Linked DNA regions of Lytechinus pictus. The protein of the gene in region 1 interacts with the protein of each later gene in a pairwise test. Links are inferred from orthologs where the notes say so. Each region holds a gene or a part of one and is shown on either strand. Other genes may lie near its edges.

Evidence for each region.
Region 2: the proteins of ras-related protein Rab6-like (region 1) and golgin subfamily A member 1-like interact in a two-hybrid assay, tested with the Drosophila melanogaster proteins (2 studies listed by BioGRID). The link is inferred for Lytechinus pictus from reciprocal best matches to the Drosophila melanogaster genes Rab6 and Golgin97.
Region 3: the proteins of ras-related protein Rab6-like (region 1) and GRIP and coiled-coil domain-containing protein 1-like interact in a two-hybrid assay, tested with the Drosophila melanogaster proteins (2 studies listed by BioGRID). The link is inferred for Lytechinus pictus from reciprocal best matches to the Drosophila melanogaster genes Rab6 and GCC88.

The regions. Positions count from the first base shown.
Region 1 is NC_087260.1:28,911,324-28,918,506, forward strand, and holds the start of ras-related protein Rab6-like, read left to right. Parts: upstream 1-4,120; 5' UTR 4,121-4,270; coding exon 4,271-4,340; intron 4,341-7,183. UniProt on the Drosophila melanogaster protein: Protein transport. Regulator of membrane traffic from the Golgi apparatus towards the endoplasmic reticulum (ER). Mediates membrane trafficking during egg chamber growth and organization, possibly upstream of exocyst component Sec5.
Region 2 is NC_087259.1:7,939,327-7,946,823, forward strand, and holds the start of golgin subfamily A member 1-like, read left to right. Parts: upstream 1-4,493; 5' UTR 4,494-4,733; intron 4,734-5,605; 5' UTR 5,606-5,701; intron 5,702-6,853; 5' UTR 6,854-7,015; coding exon 7,016-7,045; intron 7,046-7,497.
Region 3 is NC_087253.1:17,720,105-17,727,481, reverse strand, and holds the start of GRIP and coiled-coil domain-containing protein 1-like, read left to right. Parts: upstream 1-4,327; 5' UTR 4,328-4,415; intron 4,416-7,272; 5' UTR 7,273-7,303; coding exon 7,304-7,377.

The DNA.
Region 1 (7,183 bases):
AATCAAAGCAAGCTATCAATATGTGAATTTTCTTTAATGTATATTGAACCCAAATAAATCAAGTAAATCAAGTAAATTAAAAGACAAGTTAAAACTACTTAAAAAAACGAAAAATAATTACAAATTGTAAATTCTACATTAAGTGTTAATTACCGATTCAGATTTTTTTTTTACAGTGTACTTTTCCTTTTTTTAAGGATGTTGTATTGCCTTCTCTCAAATCAAAATACACATTCACATTCCATAAGCAAGTTGTACAAACTATTTGAAACATGATTAAAATTATACAATAAATCCATAACAAATATAATTATACAAATTATACATCAAACTTCAAAGATACTAGAAATTAATACTAATGCGTTTCAGCAATTACAAAATGAAATGTTAACAAGATGTGTGAAATGATATGAGAGGGAAAAAAGATAAAAAGTGTTGTTCTACCTCCTAACCCCCCCCCCCCCCGTCCCCAGGTTAGGAGCACCCTCCCATTTTTATGCCTATAATCTACATGGAAGGGACTACAATTCTCCGTATTGTTTTTTATTTTTTTCTGTGTTTTTGTTTATTTTGTTTTGTGGTTTTGTCTCTCGTTGTATATATACATTTGCCTCACTCTCCCTATACATTCTTTTAATTAAGATTTTCCCATTTCCTTAAATGTAGAGACATCTTACCTCTACCTAGCGCCAGTCTTCTTTCTTCCCATTCTTCTTCTTTAAATTTCCTTTTAATTTCATCCATGGTTATAAGTGCACCCTTTTCCCTCCCTTTGAAGATTAAAAATTTGACAAATAATTGACTAAACGTTCCTTTCCTTCGTCCTTTAATTCTACACCTACAAGAATTTCCTCCCAGCTTAAATTACCCGTAGAAATAAAACCAAACATCTCCTTACAATTATCCCAAACCAGACAAGCATATTCACATTCCAAAAATAGATGGCGATATGTTTCCTCCTCTTTTTTACAATAACAACAAAGATTATTCTGTGAGATTTAAAACGGAACAAGTGATAATTTGTATAAGCAATGCCGTGCAACATTTTAAACTGAAACTCTCTTAATCTACTGTTCAGAGTACATTGTCTTGGTCTCACAAAAATGTGTTCAATCTTTTCATAAGAAAAACTATATTTGTTTTTTTAACCTTTCGAAAACATCAGGTATTGCGAAGTTACATTTCATAAAATTTGCATAAACGTTTTTAGATACTAACTCCTCTATTGACAAAATTCTTTTTCCAGATATAAATGATATTTCTTCCCTAAAAGAAGCCTCTTTGCTATCTATTTTCATATTTCGTTTCCAGCTGACTGGAAAAGTTTTATAAATTGACTCTATCAAATGAAAATCATTTATGTTTAAACCCTGTCTTCGGAAGTACGAAAATGACCTTCAGTTTCCATCATAATCCATATGTTTCAATCTGTAAATATTTTTTTCATATATTTTTTGGTTAAATATGCATTTCCCTTCAATTCGTAAAAAAATTATTGTTAAAACATATCTCATTTCCTTTAAATGTTTTAGATTTTAATTCTTCGTCTCTATCCATACTTTTTAACAAATCTATATAAAATTGCGGCAATGCTATCTCCATCAATCCGAGCAAGTAATCGCATGAAAATATAAAATTTCCTCCCAGATGTTTTGTGGAATAATTGAAATATTGTTTCCATTTCATTGCATTATTTTCTTTTAGTCTTTTAATCCACATAACTCTCTGTGCCTTTATTAACCATTGAAAATTCATCATTTTCAAGCCGCCTTGATGGTAATCTAAATACATCATTCTTTTGTTAATCTTTTGTTAATCTGCCACCCCACAAAAAAGTAAAAGCCAACTGATCAAGTACAACATAAACCCATCCTGGGATTGGTGTGAGAGATGCCACATATATGAATTTTAAAAATATAAATTGCTTTAATAATTGTATTTTGCCCATCAAAGTTAAATCTCGTTACTTCCACCAGTTTAACAACTTCTTTATTTTACTTAATATTTCTTTATAATTCAATCTTTCTTTTACTTCTACATCTAAAGAAAAAAATACACCGAGAATCTTTATAAAATCCACATTTTGGCCAAAAGATAAATCATATTATTTTCCTTCAGAGGAACCTAATAATAAAACCTTCGTCTTATCGCTATTAACTTTAAGTCCTGATACTTTTCTGAATTTTTCTAAAATTTTTATTACTTTTTTGACTGAATCTAGATCTCGGACAAAAATAGATATCATCTGCATACATAATCTGTTTTACTTCTTCCTTTCCAAAGGAAATTCCTTTAACATCATTATTATATCTTATATTATGCGCTATAATATACTTCTATGTATAAAATGAAAAGATATGGTGAAAGCGGATCTCCCTGCCTTACCCCTCTTTCCACATGAAAATAGCTTGTAGAATCTCTTCCATTAAAAATACAACTTTGGCTATTTGTATATAATATTTTGACCTTTTATATATAGTAATCGATCTTTCTCCATCTGTCAGATTTTCTTCAAACACGTGATGGCGCTATTTCATCAAGAATTTCAAGCTGATGTAGGCCTATGATATCACCAAGCTCTGTTGATCTAAAAAAATCATTTGAATGGTTAGTTTATTTTATTCACGATTAAAATACATACAGTGTAAACACAATGGGCATAAAAGTCATGATCAAAGTCAACGATTATAATAATTATGTAACAATATTTGAACAATGAATGTAATACAAACTCATTTTCGGATAATCCGTTTCAGATTGGCTGTGCCACTGTGGCCAATCTGTTCTTCCCCCTGAAAAAACCCTCTTTCTTCAAGGCTTCGAACACCACCGTATCTCAGACTTCCGAACTATTTGCCCCCCCCCCCCTTCACGGGCTTTTCCTACCTTACACCGGCCCCCTATCGGGAGGGACTTCTTACAGGTAAGCTCAGAATATCCCTCCATCCCAGACTCCGGTAAATGTAACCGCCCGATGGCGATGGCCTATGTATCCCCTTACTTTTGAGAAAGAAAATATGTAGTGTTATCATCAAATAGCCGTATCAAAAATGCATTATAAAACCTGCTAAATATTGTGAATTATAAAAACACGAAATCTCGCGCTCGGACGCTCAATAAATTCATAACATAATTTTGGTCCCGATAGTATGTCATAGCCTTGTTGCAAGGGTTACACTAGAACCTTTGATCACAAAATAATGCCTCAAATACCTTATAGCACCCTAATTTCTTTACATAAGAAGGTATATCATGAATTGTTGATTAAAAACCCATATTTTTAAACTATTTTTTCCATTTATCGACTTGAAATAAGATTTAATCTCATGTAACAATATATTAAGTATTTCATTTTTTCAATTATTCATAATCATTCCTTTCCCTCTTTGCATCAAATAATCGTTGATATGAATTGAACTAAGAGCATTTTTTGTTGGCCATAAAACTTTTTTTACACCCCTTCCCCATTTGGCAGTATTATAAACCCCATTATTCAACTTGCCTGATGTTCTGCGTGCTATTCCCACTTACTGGATGGTAAGTGATTGTGGTCTGCATGAACTTGACATACATACATGATCATCATACTTTAGTCCTCATTATTTTGCTCGTTTAATTATAAGGCATTTTCAAAGTTTATTTTCTGTGTCCGAATTCTTACTTTAAGTATACACTCCCCTTTTTCTTCTCCTCCTTCTTTTTTTCTTCTTCTTCTTCTCCTCCTCCTTCTTCTTCTTTGATCTTCTTCTTCGATCTCTTCTTCTTCCCTTTCTTCTTCTTCTTCTACTTCTTCTTCTTCTTCAAGTTCTTTTTCTTCATCATCATCTTCTTCTTCTTCTCCGAAGTTCTTCTATCCCTTGGTTTTCTAATCTTTAGTCTCTCAATTTTCTTTTTTGTTGTTGTTGCTTAATTACAAATAAAAAAACAACATGTTTCTTGACCGTGTTCCTTGTGAAAGCCCTCAAATGTGAAGTTTCCCAATTACAATGCCGGGAAACACCTAACTTGAATATCGCTTGCTATTAAATCATTGTTATTTCACCTTATTTCAGGAATGCTTCTATTTATTTTTTGATATAGTTATTTTTTTTTATAATCCGAGATGACGCATCCATTAAGTGCGCATGCGCCGAACACCTCAGAATCTATAACGTGGCGAAGATACCTCCGAGAATCCAGAAGAGATAAGATCATCAAATATCTTGTTTTTGCTTGATTTCAAAACGTTTTAAGAGGTTATCTTTTCAGAACCCCAAATTAACAACTTAGGATGTCTTCCTCCGGAGATTTCAGCAATCCTTTGAGGAAATTCAAGCTTGTTTTCCTTGGCGAGCAGAGTGGTAAGTTTGCCGGTATCGCACTGGCGACGCCCGGCCCCCTTTTCGTGATCGTGTGCTGTATGATATCGTATCCAACGCAAATGCCATTGCCAATGCATGTCTATGTAGAAATAATACGTGTACCGGGTAACAGATGAATGATGCGGCGCTAATGCAGTTTCTCACAGGAACTCTACCCTAGCCAGGAGGCTCCTAGAGAGTAAAAATCATAACGTGTGCTTACCCTCAATGCAATGGAGCCTGGAATTGCTTCCCATACATCTACACACACCGCCCAAAAACCTGAAACTTTCGCCCCCGAGGGCCGAGACTAGCCAGGCGGCTTCTAGAGAGTAAAAATCATTTACTAACGAGTAACGTAAGGTTACTCTCGTACGAAGCCAGGCCTTCTATCTCATAGACCCACACAGAGCCAGACAAAACCTGAAACCTTCACCCCCGAGATTTCTACTTTCCTTCTAAAAGATCTAGCTCTAAATCATGTACATGGGATAAAACTTAATTTCCGACATTTCTACGCTCTCGTTGTTATTTTTAAAACAAGAATTCATCAAAAAAATGAAAAAATATTGTGAAAAGACGGAAGAGACTTGCCCGATGTTTACGCCGCCATCTTGTTTCTTATTGTACTTCCCCAACGTTACGGACACGAGCGTCGCGTAACGTTGGGGAAGACAAAAATTGGAATCGGCGAGTAAGCTCCAACATTCTTCAACGAGAAGAAAATCGGTGCTTAAATGTACATGTATAAATGACAAATATTTGGGGAAAGTTGCTACATATCGTTAGGTAAGTTAAGTTTCATAGAAAACTGATTTTATTTAAAATCTAATAAACAATTCGCACATTCCCGCAATCCCATGGAAGTGTTGCATGCGCTGTGCCTTGATATTCCTGTGCGCCAAGCCTTGAAATAAGCAGTTGCAGACCAGGGGCAATTTTTCAAAAAAATTGCCCCCGGCTCACGGGCTTTTTACAGGAACCGGGGGCAATTTTCTGGAACCAGGGGCAATTAAAAAAAAAAATATATAACGGTGAACCACACTGCAAATTTGTTTATAGTAAGCGCAGCTCCTGCAATTTTTTAATTAGTACATGAATAGCATGCTAAGTAATAGGCTTATTCAAACATTTAAGAAATCAGATTTAAATGTTTAAGTGTGTTTTGACACCCTCACTCCACATCCCCTTCACAACCACACACACATGGGCTTATTTATTTTTCATCTTTAATGAACCACGAACAATGAACCCCCCCCCCAAAAAAAAAAATCTAAATAAATGAATAAAATAAAAATATAAAAAGAGAGAGAGAGGGAGATGGAGAAAGAGAGAATTCAGATCAAATAATAATAAATTTAGAAAAAAATATACAAATTTTAAGGTTTTTTTCATGGTTAGAATCACGGGTGTGGGTGAGTGTTTGTGTGTGATTGTGACTGTGAGGTGCATCTGGATTGCATATAAATTATGTTAAAGAAATAAAGAAATGAAATCAATATCTAACTCAGTCTATTCAAATTCCAGCACACAGGCACAGGCTATGTACATGTATTGTAGGTTCATGTACCTTAAGTTTTTCACAAGTTATTTGAAAATGCAGATCTCCACAGAAAAATGCCTTTCATTCTGGGAGTCTAAATTCTGTGAAAATGTATTCATTAATAACTTAAATATTCATCACAATGAAGAAATCATTAAGTTTTTTGACAGTTTTCAAAAATTAACATGAAATCTAAACTCTATCTGAAACGGAATAATTCACAACTATAAGCTAAGTAATTTTGGATTATTAAGGCTCCGTTTTGACAAGCAAAGTCGGCGACTGTGAGGATAAAAGACTCGTACATCGTATGTGCTGTGAACAGGGATTTATCTCCTGTGCAATTCGAATTACTATATCACAGAATTGTGATATCCCAACTGGAAATGTGTGCATTAGAAATTGCACATGGTGAAGTATGGAAAAACTGTCACCGCTACCGGAATCACGCGCGCACATGTATTACAGAAAAAAAAAGACGGACGTAGCTCAATTTTTATGGTACAGAAAAAAAGATGCACTTGGCAATTTGAAACTGTGCTTATCGTAAATTGAAAGTTACTTGATTTTGGCTTTTCAGATATTTAAATTACATGTATGAAATGGCTTCACTGCTCACTCACGATGGGCGCAATTACCTGGAAAATATTTGCATCCGGCCGTCAAAATTTTGATGATTTGGGGGCTTTATGGGCGCAATTGATGGCTTTATGAGCGCGAATTTGCGCTCAGCGCCGGCTTATTTCAAGGCTTGCTGTGCGCCAAAAGTTATATGCAACGGGTCTGGTGGGGAAATTTGCTCAAAGTTGGCCGATACGAAACTGCATTAGCACCGAATGAATCATGGTATTATGCTATTGGTAATCATTATTAGGCATTATCGTGAAATTGGAAACCATTTTGCGATTTCCACTGGAAAATCAACAACAAGGCACGACTGGTGGCTTCCTATATTCAAATTAACCACTTGCTGGCATATTTCTCCTGTTCTCAATTTAGAATCTACCTTATTCCATCAAACTCAAAGAGCTTAAAGGGGTACTCTGGGCTGAAAATATTTATATAGATTAATTGAGTAAAATTCACAGAGCAGAGCAACATGCTGAAAATTTCATCAAAATCTGATGATCAATAATAATAATAATTTTAAAAATGACACGTAAGAAAATACAAAAGAATAAGTGGTGTTATGCAGTCATCTGTTAGCTCATTGAATATTCATAAAGACATGAAAGATGCAAATCTGGAAAATACCATAACTTTGTTATTCTTTGTCCAATTTTGATCAGATTTTCATTGT
Region 2 (7,497 bases), on another chromosome or scaffold:
TTTGGGCAGCATTTCAACTTTATCATTTTTATCTCTTTTTGGGTAGCATTTGAACTTTATCAAAATTGTGGATCTCAGCAATGTGTTCATGGGAGTCGGGAGAATAGGGGGTGAGATAGGACTTAAGTGGGAGAAGCAGGTTGATGGAATAAGGGTCAACATATCATGGAGCCCCCGCCCCCTCCCTCTTTCACGCCCTCCCCTCCTGTTGAGAGACTGATGGCTATTGTCATGTACGCGTGAAGTCCAGAGCAGAATGTTGATTTAATGATAAATTCTGAATTGGGGCATCAACTTTTTCCTATTAATCATTTAATCAACAATTTATTAGTAAATCAATGAGATCAATCAAACATTCAGTTTTTTCAATAAATTATTTCATTAATCATCATAATCATTAAATTTCTATGATTCAATAAAAAAATGACCATCAGCCACCGGTCACTTGGCAGTTAATATTTGAATAGGCTACAATCCAGGAAGTGAGACAGAGAGAGAGAATGGGGGGGGGGGCTTGAAAATGGAGGTGGAGAGGGGAGGGTACATATGACTTTAAATTTGTAAAAGGACAAAAAGAAGAGGAATGCCCTTTTCTTTGAACCAAGTCTCAGCATATCTCGCCCTCTTGCTTGTAACAGGTACCATCACATTACTCTGACTCTCACGAACACACTTCTGAGGTCCACAAGATGAATATGCTACACTAAAATTACAATTCTTGTTCACTCATGCATTACATTTCAATTTAGTAACTCGTGAAATTTGCCTAAGAAAACAAAACTTATCTTACTCATTAATCTAGCTTAACACCCTTAGCTTTGCAAGTACCAAAGGACTAACCACTCAAAAAACTGTAAGGCTAATTCCTGCCCAGCCTAGCCGAGCTTAGTCTCTCAGGAGGAGGGAAGCGGGGGGGGGGGGGGGGGGGGGGTGGGGGGGGGTTGAGATGGAATGGAGAGAGGGCTCAGGGGTTGCTAAATGTTTTGTTGACTTTTATCCCATCAACGTATTTCACCTGCTTATGTCTTATCTTACCCCCTGTTCTCCTGACTCTCATGAACACATTGCTGAGATCCGCATGATAAAGACAAAATGCTGCACTAAAAATTGCAATTCATGATCACTCATGCATTAAATTTCAATTTAATAACGCATAAAATTTTCACAAACAACAAACTGATCACAACTGATCTTTAATTCACCAAATAACCCTCAACTTTGCAAGTACCAAACGAAAACACCTGAAAGAAATTGGAAGGCTAATTCCAGCCCACCCTAATTTTCATACCCTTTGTTTCAGTGGGCAGTGCTCGCTCAAGCATGAATAATTTTCCAACTTTTTGGTGTCATTTGAAAGTTGACTTTATTGGCTTTCCATATATGTAAGTCTTTTCCCCCAAAGTGATACACTTTATATTTGGCAGCCATTTCAAAAGTGTATAGTTTTTTTTGGGACGCACTGTATATACGACACTGCCAAGCTTCAAGCTCTAGTTCACTCTCTCACTCAGTCAAGCTCAGCTCTTTGACTGTGCACGCCCACTTCCATTGAGGATTCGGGCTGAATCCCACCCCGCCAGTTTAGGCGGCCGAGCTACGTAGAATTGCGATGAAGAGCAGCGGACCGTTCATCGGTTGTTCGCTTCTTGCGACCAGAGAGAAAAGGTGAAAAACTTTAACAAAATCGTGCAAATGCACCAAATTTTATTCTTGTGATGAGAAAATGGAGTTAATGGAATACAATAATGTCCATCTCCTGCGATAAAAGTGGTAACTTGAGGAGAAATGATCACAAAATCAAGTCAGTTGTTGAGCGAGGCCGAGCCGAGCACCGACACAGTTAATACACGCGCGCCTATGGGAATCGCGAGCTGTCGAAAAACGCCTAAAATTACACTTTTTTTTTATTTCAGCGAAAAAAAAAGCAATAGAAAGTGAAGAACATTACCATCAGACCATATCTCTAGAAAATCTTTACAAGAAATTACGAAATGACGGAAAAATAGACGCAAATTTGTGAGAAAAAAAATCTCGTAATGGGTGGGACAACTCGGCCCGCGGTCCGAGTTGTCCCTGATTCTCTACATGTATCCCTTATACATGTACACTCTGCAAAAAAAGTTCTTGGACACTTATAAAAGTTAAAATATTCCATATAGATATTTGATTAAAGGCAAATTATTGTACATGTATGTCAACATCACCAGACAATATTCCTCTTCCAGTACGACATGACATTTTCATGTGAACAGTCACGCATGGGTGGTTAAATGCTTTAAACAATAGCAATGCCAGTAAAAGAAAATTGCAAGAAATGGACCAATCAAATGCTAATGATCATGGCCATCCTGTAGGCATACATTCAACAATTTCAACAGGTGGTTATCATTTGAATTGAATGCTTAGGGATGCATCATGAGATGCATAATGAGATGGATCATTTGGACACTCACTTTCAAGATGAAGCTTTCCAACCAAGAGCGTGCAATAGCAATAGGAATGTTGCAGTCTGGGCAGTCATTTAGACAAGTGGCTTGATATTTCCAAGTTTCACCAACAACAATTTCAAATTTGAACCAGCGGTATTTGGCTCCTGATAAAGTTAGAGACCGCCCTAGGAGTGGTCGACCTAGGGCCACCACCCCTGCAGAAGATAGGAGGATAAGGATAATTTTCTTTTACTTATGCCAAGATACTGAAATTTGACATTTTTTTCATCGACTAGCTTTGACTTAAAATTCCAGTGGAATAGTGATGCATCCAAGGTGGATAACTTTCTCTTCACTTTTAGAGTGGTATTTGACTTTAAGTTTGCTTTTATTCGTTTAATGGATATTTATGCCACACAAACTTTCACAACTGAAAGAATGTCTGATCGTTTTCTTGCAATTTTCTTTTACTGACATTGCTATTGTTTAATGCCTGTAACCAGCCATGCACTGACTGATCCATTTCTTGCAATTTTCTTTTACTGACATTGCTATTTAAGCATTTAACCACCCATGCATGACTGTTCACCTGAAAATGTCATGTCATACTGGAAGAGGAATATTGTCTGGTCATGTTGACATACAATAATTTGCCTTTAATCAAATATCTATATGGAATATTTTAACTTTTATAAGTGTCCAAGAACTTTTTTTGCCGAGTGTATATAGTAGAACGCAAAACGGTTGCAGCGACTCCCATCTGTTAACGTACGATGGATAAACGTATTAAAGAATAAATGGACAATTACATGTACTTCTCTTCTGATGAAATTTTGAAATACAATGTACAATAGAGGGTCATTTTACAGCCTAAAACTTCAGTCTAATAATTGTATTCCCTCCCATGTGAATGGGATATTGACAGATTATCAAATCGTGATTAAAAAAGGACTTCCAACAAAATTTGAGATATCAGGGCCGCATCTTACAAAGAGTTGCGATTGATCCAATCAATCGTAACTCTATGGAAATCCATCAGTGTCATACTTTTGTCTACAGGAAATTTGCACAATGTCCTTTGTAAACAAAGGAGATCACACCAAATTGTCAAGAAATTTATGAATTTATGGATATACATTCATATCTAGATTTTTTTTTTAATAAACATGCATTTTATATATGTTGACTTTGCTGGCTTTCCATAGTTGCAATTGATTGGATTTGCAACTCTTTGTAAGACGGGGCCTGGGATTTGTTTCTCAAGTGACTGGTGGAACCATCAACCTTCTGCCTTCTCAGATATTCCAATTATAGGAATTGCCATTCCGGACCTCCATACAAGTAGCATACATGTATTGCACATGAAATATACAACAGAACTGTATCTGTACTAGCTTGTACATGTATGTATGTGCTATGTACAGTTGTATCTGTATGGTTGATACAGTAGATTCATGTACATGGCATTTTGGAAATTTTTCGATGCGCAAGTGAGTGTTTCATGAAGAGATTTGTCAGTGATTTTGTCACTGACTAATTCGCTCTTAGCCAATCAGATACAAAGGTTTCCAGTAGCTTTTAACAATAAATTGTCAGTGAAAATACTGACAGAGCTCTTCATCAAACGCTGTCCTGGACCCTGTAACACAAAGGTTAGCGATTAATCGTATGCTTGATTTCTACGATTGATTGTACATTGTAGTCAATGGAATCAATCGTAGAAATATGTTCTACGATCAATGCTAATCTTTGTGTTACGGGCCCTGGACCCCGTAATGCAAAGGTTTGCGACTAATCGCTAAATGAAATGTCCTATCAAGATCATTGTTGCATGCGCATTTTGCTCAGTAGACTGACTAGAAACCAAATAGTGATTAATTAATTAATAAGAATTAGTGATTAATCGCTAACCTTCGTGTTATGGGGCCCTGGTCTACAGTGGTTCCTGTAGCACATGAGAATGACAACTTGTCAGGGCTACATGTAGCAACTTTCTAGAAACCTTGCCAAGAATACCCAATACCTAAAATTAACCCATTCATGTACACTGTGTTGTCTGTAGATGTTTTACAAAATACTTATTTATATAATATTGAAAAATTGTTACATCTTTTTTGCTCTTAATCTATTACCCCTTAATTTCAATCTCTTAATAATCTGACCATTACCTTCCAGGCCAAGAAAGACGTTGCTGATAAAGAATCCGAGCTCGGTCATCTGAGAGAGAAAGTGGTGACCTTAGAACAAAGATTACAGGACAATGACCTGTCGCAAGATGATCATATCAAAGCCATCCAGTCAGAGGTAAAAAAAAAAATCATAATATCATTATTAAGAGATATCTTTTCATTAAAATATGAAATTATTTTTGGCCCTCCACGTAAAAATCTTGCTCTGTTCTGTTCATGGTAACTCCTGAAGGAACTCGGCAGAACAGCATTTTGCTGGTAAACGCCAAGCTGGTATATAACCAATTACCTATAGGAAACATGTAACGTCTAGGTTAATCAGTCATAGTGACTGACCTTATTATAGCTTGTATTCACAAAGGTACATGTAATTTCACGTTTGTAGTTTGAAACCATGGTAGCTGGAAAATGGCAAAGTGACATTATTATATTATGTTTCTATGAAATGGGCCACTAATGTAGTTGTATTGTTGTTGTTTTTTCACATGTGAATTGCCCTTTTGCTGTGGTTTAGGCAATCTGTTCATTATGAAATAATGAAAATAATAACATCATACTTACCCAGGGTAGCCACTTCAGTCTAAAAATTGTTCTGCCATTGGGCCCTACTGAGCATGATAATATTACTACCCCATCTTTAGCTGGGCACTCGCGAGTACAGTGGTGCTCAAAAGTTAGTGAACCCCACCAGAAACTGAACATGCTTAAAGTGTACAAGTTCTTCCATGTTTATGATATTTACTTGTGAAGTAAGGTGATAAAATATTACATTCATTTAAGTTTGTTTCTCTGGGCTTGCCGAACATTAGTGTGTTGTTGTTTACATTTAACACTCGGCATGAAGGAAAGCATTTTGTGGTGGGGTTCACTCACTTTTGAGCACAGCTGTAGATGAACACCTTGCAGAGGGATACAAGTGCTGTGATGGGATTGGAAAACCCTCAAGGAGAAAATTGGTGACTCTGTTCCCTTTTTTACATTTCTCAGAGAGACAACCTTGAACAAAAAGTGGAAGAAACCAGAAAAGAACTTGCAGCTGACAGAACCGAATCCAGCGAAAAAATTAGCAGTCTAGAAAACCAGGTGGGTGATCGTACTTACCATTATCATAGGCTGTTAATTTGCATATTCAGATCAACGTTTCTCTATCCCTTAAATCGTTGAACGCCAAACAGGGTAGCAGCAACCCCCCATCCTTTAATGTCTTTTGGTCTTACGCGGCCTGGGTTTGATCTCCTGACCTCCCGATTGTGAGATGGACACTCTACCAACTGAGCCAACACACCGGTACCTTTAACCACTCGACCATGAACAGTTGACGACAGAACCAAGTTATCTAAAGGCTTTAAAACTTGGCTCTATAGAAATTCTATTCCTCTGCATTGTTTATTTTTTTCCCTGATAACCCAAGGTAGGATTTTTGCAGGGTTTCGAAATCCAATGACCTAGGATCAAAACAAAGTCAATGCGCTTGTGTTGTCATATATGTTTCATCAGCCATTTCATCCTGCATGCTGGAAGAACTGCTGTATGTCATCAGCTGAGAGCTTTTTTTGGTTGAGATTGGCCGACATGCTCTTGATTTGACTGTTACACTGGTACATGTAACTATCAGACAATGACAACATGGCAGTGCTGACAAGCTTCCTGAATTGACGCTGAGGTTACTTAGTGAGAGAGAGAGAGAGAGAGAGACAATGCTCAACATTGCAGCAACTGGCAAACATGTCACAATCCTATGATTGAGAAGTATTAAATGCTAAGGTAGATTGCCAATTTGTCCATTGCAAACTCATCCACTCATCACATGGTCTACCTACATTAGTCTAATGCCATTCCGTCCATTAACATTTTGTCTATCAGCCATGTAGTCCAATAACCATTTGGTCCAATCATCACTTTGTCTAATCACCAGTTCATCTATGACCATTTTGTCTCATAACTAGTTGATCTAATAGTAATACCCATTTTATTTTCATTAATTTTTCCCAATTATCACTTAGTCCAATTAGACCAAATGGTATGTGGACTATTTAATGGCTATTGAACCAACTGGTTATTAGACATAATGGTGAGTGGACGAAATGGCAGTGAGACCATGTGGATAGTGGACGAACTTTTGGTAGGCAAAATGATAGTAGACGAGTTGGTGATTGGTATCAGATCAATTGAAAATAAACCAGTGCTATTTCTCAAGTAGTCCCACACCTTATGTTTTTTTGTTGGATCCTGCAGATCGAGCATCTCAACACAAAGATTTCGGAAGACACGGAGGAGCATCGGAGTAGCTTGAGCAGAGCGGATTCGGCCCAGACTCAACTCAGAAATGAAATCTCTGACTTGAAGAGCAGGTTGGATGCTGCACAGAAGGAGACAGGCTCACTTCAGCGGGAATCGATGGTGAAGGAGGCCCAGCTAAAAGCGCAGGTAAGTTTCTACATTTGCCACCCTTCACCCAGGGAGGGCTCGACAAAGGGCGGAATATGGCAAGGAAAAGTGAAGTCTTGATTGCACGAAATGAAGTTGAAATATCCAGATTTTGACAAACGTTCCTAATGGAAATCAACCTTTGAAGGGAACATTATCTCAAGAAGCTGGTAGTTCTGGAGAGCATTTCATTAACGTTTTTGTCCAACAAGTTGTTGGATCTGACAACTTTTATTGATTTTGATTGGCTGAGAAGCACTGTTACTATGGTAACTTTCAGATAAAACGTCTGACAAGCTCATTTATGAAACGCTCCCCTGATCAGCATAATTTTCTAGATCTGGAATAGCGGGATAATTGGCATCTTGGACTGATGGAAATGAGCCTGAAATATAAAGTGTGGTTATAAGTGCCAGTATGAGCCTGAAATAAGTGTAAGCTATGCATGAATG
Region 3 (7,377 bases), on another chromosome or scaffold:
ACACATAAAACCTGGTGTCAGCAGCCACCTCATCTTTGTTGGCTCAGTCTGTAACGCGTCTGCCCGTTGAACCAAAGATCGTGGGTTCGAGTCCACCCCGGGCGGATGACCGAAGCCAGTGCGTTGTGTGTAAACGTCTCTCCCATGTTTCATAGACGCAGGCTATATTACAATAGAAAACACTCCGTCCCTCAGTTAGGACATTAAATGGAGGCCCCGTGTAGAGGAGAGTCGCCACCTTTGCACGTTAAGAACCCATTGTACTATTCGTATAAGAGTAGGGGGAAACCGCGGTGTAGTGGTCCACCTGCAATCCCCCCAATCAGTTATATCGGGAGGAGAGACCTGCGGGTCACAGTGATTCAGTTCCCTTGTCGCCTCCCAGGCACAGGTGACGCCAAACAAATAATAATAACTTCTCTATTTAGCAGCCACCTGCCTATAGTGACAACCCAAAGTGATTCCCACTGAGGCAAGTTATGAGGATTTGAACCTGTCTATAGCAACCACCTGTCCATAAAAAGTGTTATTTTGTCTTTCCCATGGGTGATCACTATAGACGGATTGCACTGTACATATATGTGGTCAAGTTCAAAGCCTGTCAGAAGCCTTGGTAAAAGTTCTTTAATGTGAATTATAAGGGAATACCTCAAAAATTCAGATCTTATAAAGTTTAATATCTTGAATTTATATTTCATCTACTGATCATTAGATTTGAATTTTTCGTTTGATGATTTTTAGTGCCCCATATCCATTTCCATAAGTAAAAGATCGAGCCTTAACAAATTAGTGATTGCCTTTTTAAAAATCTATAAACAAGATTGCATGTATGTCCTGAAATTCTTAGCCCATTCCTAAAAATAAATGATAAAATAGTAAAAGGAAAAATAAATATTAAAAAGCAAGAATACAAAGTAATAAATTAGATATCAGTAGTTTGGTGCGGGGATTCCAGTCAGTCATCAAGTTTTTACATCAAGTTTTAGTGTCCGATTACTGGGGTGGTTGGATTAAAAATAGAAAATCAGCTTACATTTAAATAAATAATTGAACATCCTATAAACACTTCTTCGGGTCAGTATACAAATTATTACAGTTTCGATTGACGCTCGCGTTATATGTTAAGATACAGGGGCCGGGGGGGGGGCTGGAGGGGCTTCAGCCCCCCCCCCCCCCACTTTTTTCCAAAACCGTGTACAAAAACGTAAAAATGACCATATGATTGTGATTTTTAGCATGGTCAGCACTCAGCCCCCCCACTTTCAAAACCGTTCCGCGGCCCCTGAGATACATACGCATCCTGTTCATGACAACAAAAATTTACAATATCCTCTCGAGTCTGAATGGTACATAATTTCATTGTGCGTTTCGCGCTCAAACAACCCTATTCATACAGATGCGCCATAGGCCTATTCAACGGATTTTGTTTATTGTCGCCATCCCCAATGATGATGCCACTCGCTATTGTGTATGTCTTACAGGTCATGGTCACGGAATTTAGTGAAAATCCATGGTCATGGTCAGCAGCTGACCATCGTCCTGCTATTGTGACGTAATCGATGGTGGCATTTATCGCTTATTGCTGAACAAAGAATATCACGCCTATTAATTCAGATATACATTGTACGTTTCATTTTTTATAAGTTTACTGATTAGAAGCAATAGACACTACACTATTCCCAATTAATTATAGTCCAATTTAAATCTTTAGAATCGGTTAGGCTTTACACGTAACAACGGCGGGTCTTAATTGCTATAGTACCCTTTGACTTAAGGGCAATTTGCAAAATCCAATTAAGATTAAAATTTCACACATTCGATTCGAGGAGGAGGGATTTTTAAGCAAATTTTAAGTCATGAAGTATCATATATGCGTAAACATGCAGGGAAAAAAATCATTGAAATCGGATGTAAAATAAGCAAGTTATATTGCATTTTAAAGCTTTGCAAAACAACATAAAAGAGTATGCAAATGAGAAAGATGGTAATTAAATATTCATGCACTCAATTTCTTTTGCATTTTGTTATATGAAGAAGATCTGAGGAAGTATCTGTTTCAAAATAAGTTGCTGAAATGGAAAATTGACATCAGGGAAGAATCAAACTTTAATTCATCATGAAACGATGAAAGGATTTCATGTAATATGCAAAATAAATAGTGAGTGAGTGACGTTATCCGCATTTGCATATTGACTACAATAACTGTTTTGGGAACTTAAGCAAAAGTTTAATACGTCGAAATTTCCCTTCTCACATCCGTTTTTTAAATGAAATTTTTAGCGAGGTTGTTTGATTGTTATTCTTTTCATTCACATTAACTTTCTAACAAAATATGTATTCTCTGTGAACCGATTTTTTCGCTTTTTTTAAATACATTACATAGATTAATGTTTTTATGTTTTAAATAAATTTTGATCTCCATATGCGCTAGCGTGCCTTAGAGGGAGGGGCAGCGCGAAAACATTTCGAAAATGTTTTATAGGCCTATATAGAAATCGAAAATGACTCGCTCGAGAGGTAATAGGGATCCCTATAGTAAAAAGATTCACTGACATAATTATTATTTTTACTATTTTATTGAGATGACGTCATAATCCCCATCTAAATTGCAAAATGCATGCAGGTGGGTAAGCCTTTAGGTCGGGGGCACTGTTCCCCCGAGAAATTTCCCAATTCCGCTCCCTATATCTCAAGACGCCCGCGTTTCATGAAAGAACTTGCCGCCTGTCGGACGATAGTATCCGACTTGAATTTGATCGGCTGAAAAGAACTGTTACGAAATGCTAAATGTCGGATAAAATTTGACTTTTCGAAAAAAAAATTCTGAGTCTGACAGGTCCTTTCATGAAACACTCTCCTGTTTTATCCGACAGTTACTATGGGAACTGTGCTTCTCAGCCAATCGAAATTAAGAAAAGTTGTCAGTAAGTTGTCGTATTGAATGATGACCTTGCTCCCTGCATGGTTTCCCAATTCCCCAAAACATGTGATAGCTAGGGTAAACAAAAACACTGAACTTCGATCAACAAGGCATTCTAGACCACCCCATACACATAACTTAGATTCAGGACAAACAGATTAAGAGACAGTCAATCCCATATCTTGTAAATATATTGAATAAATATTATTATAATCATTTACACACCCAACTGAATGTTTCCACTGGCTGTTCCCAAAATGTTTCTATTGTAACTTAATTACATTTGATATTCATATTTTGTTTATTTTGATTTATACATAGGTAAATACAAGTAATTATTTCCTATAGAACTCATCTATTTTATATATCCTCTTTTAATAAAACTACTCATGTATTTTTTTTTAAACCAAATACTCCTTTATGACAAAATATTATTTCATAATGACAAATCATACCTACCTGGATAATTTCATACTTATTTCCTGCATAAACAGTACTTGAATGTCAAAACAATGCTAAATTATATGTTATTCAAGATGTAATTTTCCGTAATTATTGAACTGTTCTGAATTCCTTTCGTTGCACTGATTTAGAAACATGTATTCCAATTTAATTTGTTTCTTCCTTAGTTTTTCATTTGTTGCATTATAATGACTATTTCCGATATTTTTTTTCCATCTTTGTTAAATACCCAATCTCTTTAACTTTGTTCCTGTCTCCCTCTCTTCCTCTTATTTCATTTTGTCTTGCGTTCTAACATATGTTCTCACTACCACAGTGTACTTTATTCTCTGAGGCTTTCTTCTCATATGCTGGGTATTTCAATTACTTTCATATTTATGTATATTTATTTTGTAGAATAATTATATTTTGATATTTGCCTATTTTATTCCAATGTCTGTATACCATTATTTTGTAAACTGAATGTAATTCAGCCTTTGGCTGCTATTTTCAGTGAATATTTGAAATAAATAAACCATTCAATAATAATAATAATAATAATAATAATAAACTTATTCCACCGTGGAAGGGGTAGGTCTAACAGTCTGGAACAAGCATTATGTTTAAGGATGACCGGGTGTGCGAGGGGGGGGGGGGCGGGGAAGGGGTTAAACTGAAAGTAAAAATTTTCCTTGTATTCATTGCACGGAGAGAAATGGAAAACCAGGAAGTAGAGATAGAAAAAAAAAAACTGTCCTACTAAAAAAAAAAAAAAGATTAACCTTAACAGGATTAAAGATAATATAGAAATTTGTGACTGGAATTCATTGTATACTCATATGATATCCTGATTTCTAGACAAAAAGAACTTATTAAGCCCATGAGCATGATGAGGGAAATCATGACAAAGAAAACGAAAACATTGTGGTATATCAGCTTGTCATACATCGAAGCTAAGAGTGCAGTGGCTTCCCATACAAAATGTGACGTTGTCGTTAACGTTGCAGTTGACGCATCATATCTAGGAAAAAGATACTGCAGTCTAAAAGCCCCAGTAAGTATTAATTCGGAACAATTATGTAGTAATCTAACTAGTAATTTAGTATTTTTTCAAACAAATTGATGACAGACCGGTATTTCATTATGTTCATGACTAGCCCGATCAAAAATAGCCCGGGTAATCACCTCACTTCCCGGGCTCTCTCTTCCGAACCTGATTGAGCTGATGTGATTGTGATGGAGCTGGAGCCGATGGCGCGGCATCTGCTGCTGGTGACGAACCGAGCCCGTCCCGTGGCATTTCCACCAGTCAATGCAATGGCACTGGCCACTGCTGCGCGACGCGATCTTCTGCGCTGCGGAGTCAAGTGAAGCGCAGTCACGTCATTATCTTGACAGCTGGCAGCCGTCTGTTTCGAGGAGTCTTTAAACATTTTTTATATTTCTCATACACAGACGGCTTGCTATCGAGCTATCGTGCAGCCACCAGGGGGTTTACAAACTTATTTACAATGCAAAATCCCGGCCTCGACGGGGCTCATCGATTTTTTTCTTTATTTCATAATAAAAATGAATAAAGAGAACTGGACCAAAATAAAGATTATTATTCCGTTTTGGCCTGAAACGCACCAAAACGGGGAAAAAATAAACAGAAAAAGGGGAACAAACATTGACTTTTTAGTTAAATTTTACTTCAGCTGTCGTGCAACTCCAACTTATCTGGTTGATCCGAACTTAATACATAAACATAACATAAGGCCATTATTATGATTGAGTCCCTGTACAGATCGAGTTAGAACTTCGGTCTCTGTAATTCATTGGTGAGTGGAGCCCGGGGGGGCCACTTACATTGACGAGTGGATACCATGCGCGACAAAAAAAACACGTAAAAAGGATGTCTTTTTCAAGATAGGGCACGTTACGTACGTAACGTGATAAGGGTGTCAAAAACACTAAAATGATGAAAAAAGGGTATCTATTTTCGCTAGGAAAGCTACGCGTTTAATTAGGGTCAAATTTGCGAGGGTGTAAAAAATTAATACTAAAATGTTTTATAAAGGATGTACTATTGCCCCAAGAGTCAACACGTACTACGTGTTTAGAGTACGATTTGGGCGAGATGTGGAAGGTGGGGCTGTACTAAACCCAATGATGTGGGTGAAGGTAGGCCGACGACTGACGTCCGTGACATAACAATGAAAAATAAAAATATCGCTGTCCTTGTTTAGGGGGTCAATTCAGGGAACTTGCCAAGAGTATCGTTTTGTTTCCAATACTTGTTAAGGGTATGGTTACACACGCCAATACTTGTTAAGGGATGCATTTTCAGAAAAATTAAAATACGTGTTTAGGGTGCTTTTCGAGACCCCATGGTCGTGCATGGTATCCACTCGTCAATGGAAGTGGCCCCCCCGGGGAGTGGAGCCAACGGAGTTCAGCAGAACAACCAACATAACAGAGACCGAAGCTTTTGGTCTAGTCATTATCTAGACCAAAAGCTTCAGTCTGTGTATTTGGTTGTTCCGCTGAACTACGTTGGCTCCACTCTCCAATACATAAATCAGAAATTGTTAAATAAATCCCCTGTAACGACGTTTACTCCTGTCTAGTCATTATCCAGCTCAATAACCATGATAACTTTAGCTTCCTAAATTAGCAGTATGGCCTGTTGTTAGTGTGAATGTGATGACGTTGAAGAGCTAGAGTTAACTTACTTAGGCCATTGACATTGAATTCTACGTTTTGTGGCAAAAAAGCCGCCAAATCAAATTTTTTATTCAGTTTCACTTTTCAGCACGATAAGTAATTTAGACTTTGGCCTAGCCTATACCTATTTCAAAACATTGAACTTTAAACTTGAAAGAATCCTCACTTCAGCCTTCACACCTTGGAACGATTTTCAAAAGAAATTGATGCTAAATGCTTTGTTTACGATGCGAAGCTCTCCTTCACACAACTGGTTCCTTCTTTCATGTCTTTCCTTGCGCGATATTTGTAGGGCTCACATTTTCATGGATGGGCAATTTTCAGATGAATTTGATGATTCCATGCATGGTTTTATTAACCAAATATGGAATTGTAATTTGTCATTAATCCGTCTATTCTACCCTGCATTTCCTTGCTCTTCAAGACCACTCTACCACTTTCGCAAAGTTAACCAAAAAATGATTTCAGAATCGATTCTCTAACTAAACCACAGACAAGATATATAAGGGGATAAATCATTTTAATAAACTCTCTATATATCTACTCTTCAAAGTGGGAACCAGCTATGGAAAACCCATGAAATTGTACAGAGTTGTCCACACGTGCTCCCGTTTACACGAGTAGATAAAGACAGTTTAGTAGTAAGATTTATTCATCACTGATGTAATCAATCTCATTAATGAACTGTCTTTATCTACTCTTCAAAATGGGAACAAGTGTGTACAAATCTATGGAAAATTTTCTACACACTCAGGTTCCCATTTCAGCGAGCGGAGCAAACTAGTTTACCCAATACGCTGAAATGGGAACCATCGTATACAAATCTGTGATAGTATGGATAATTGATGGTTGTGTACAAAACATGAGGGGAATGCTGAAGGGGAGAAGGAATAGACGATTTTTACATTTTAGAATTTTTTTCATTGAGTGAATATATTTCAGAGGTTTCTGGGTAGTAAAAGGTGGAATTACTCCCAGGCGCAACCCTTGAGCCCTCTCCAAAATCCCCTCTCTCATTTCCCCCATATGTTTTATACACAGCTACGTGCTGATGAGCGATGGTTTACTTACTCAACGCCAGTGGGCGTCCTTCCCCATGAGCATTTATCGAGCGTTTGGGAGTGTTTCGAAAAATTGCCGAAGTGTCCGATCTTCCCCTTGTAGTATCTTTGATTCTACTGTGCTATGATTTTGTTTTCCTGCAGTGCTTACTTGTGATGTGAGAAAGGATCAGGAATGGATAGAACTAACAGAAAAGAACTTCTAGAAACGGTGGAGAAGCAGAAGGAGGAATTAGACCGATACAAGGG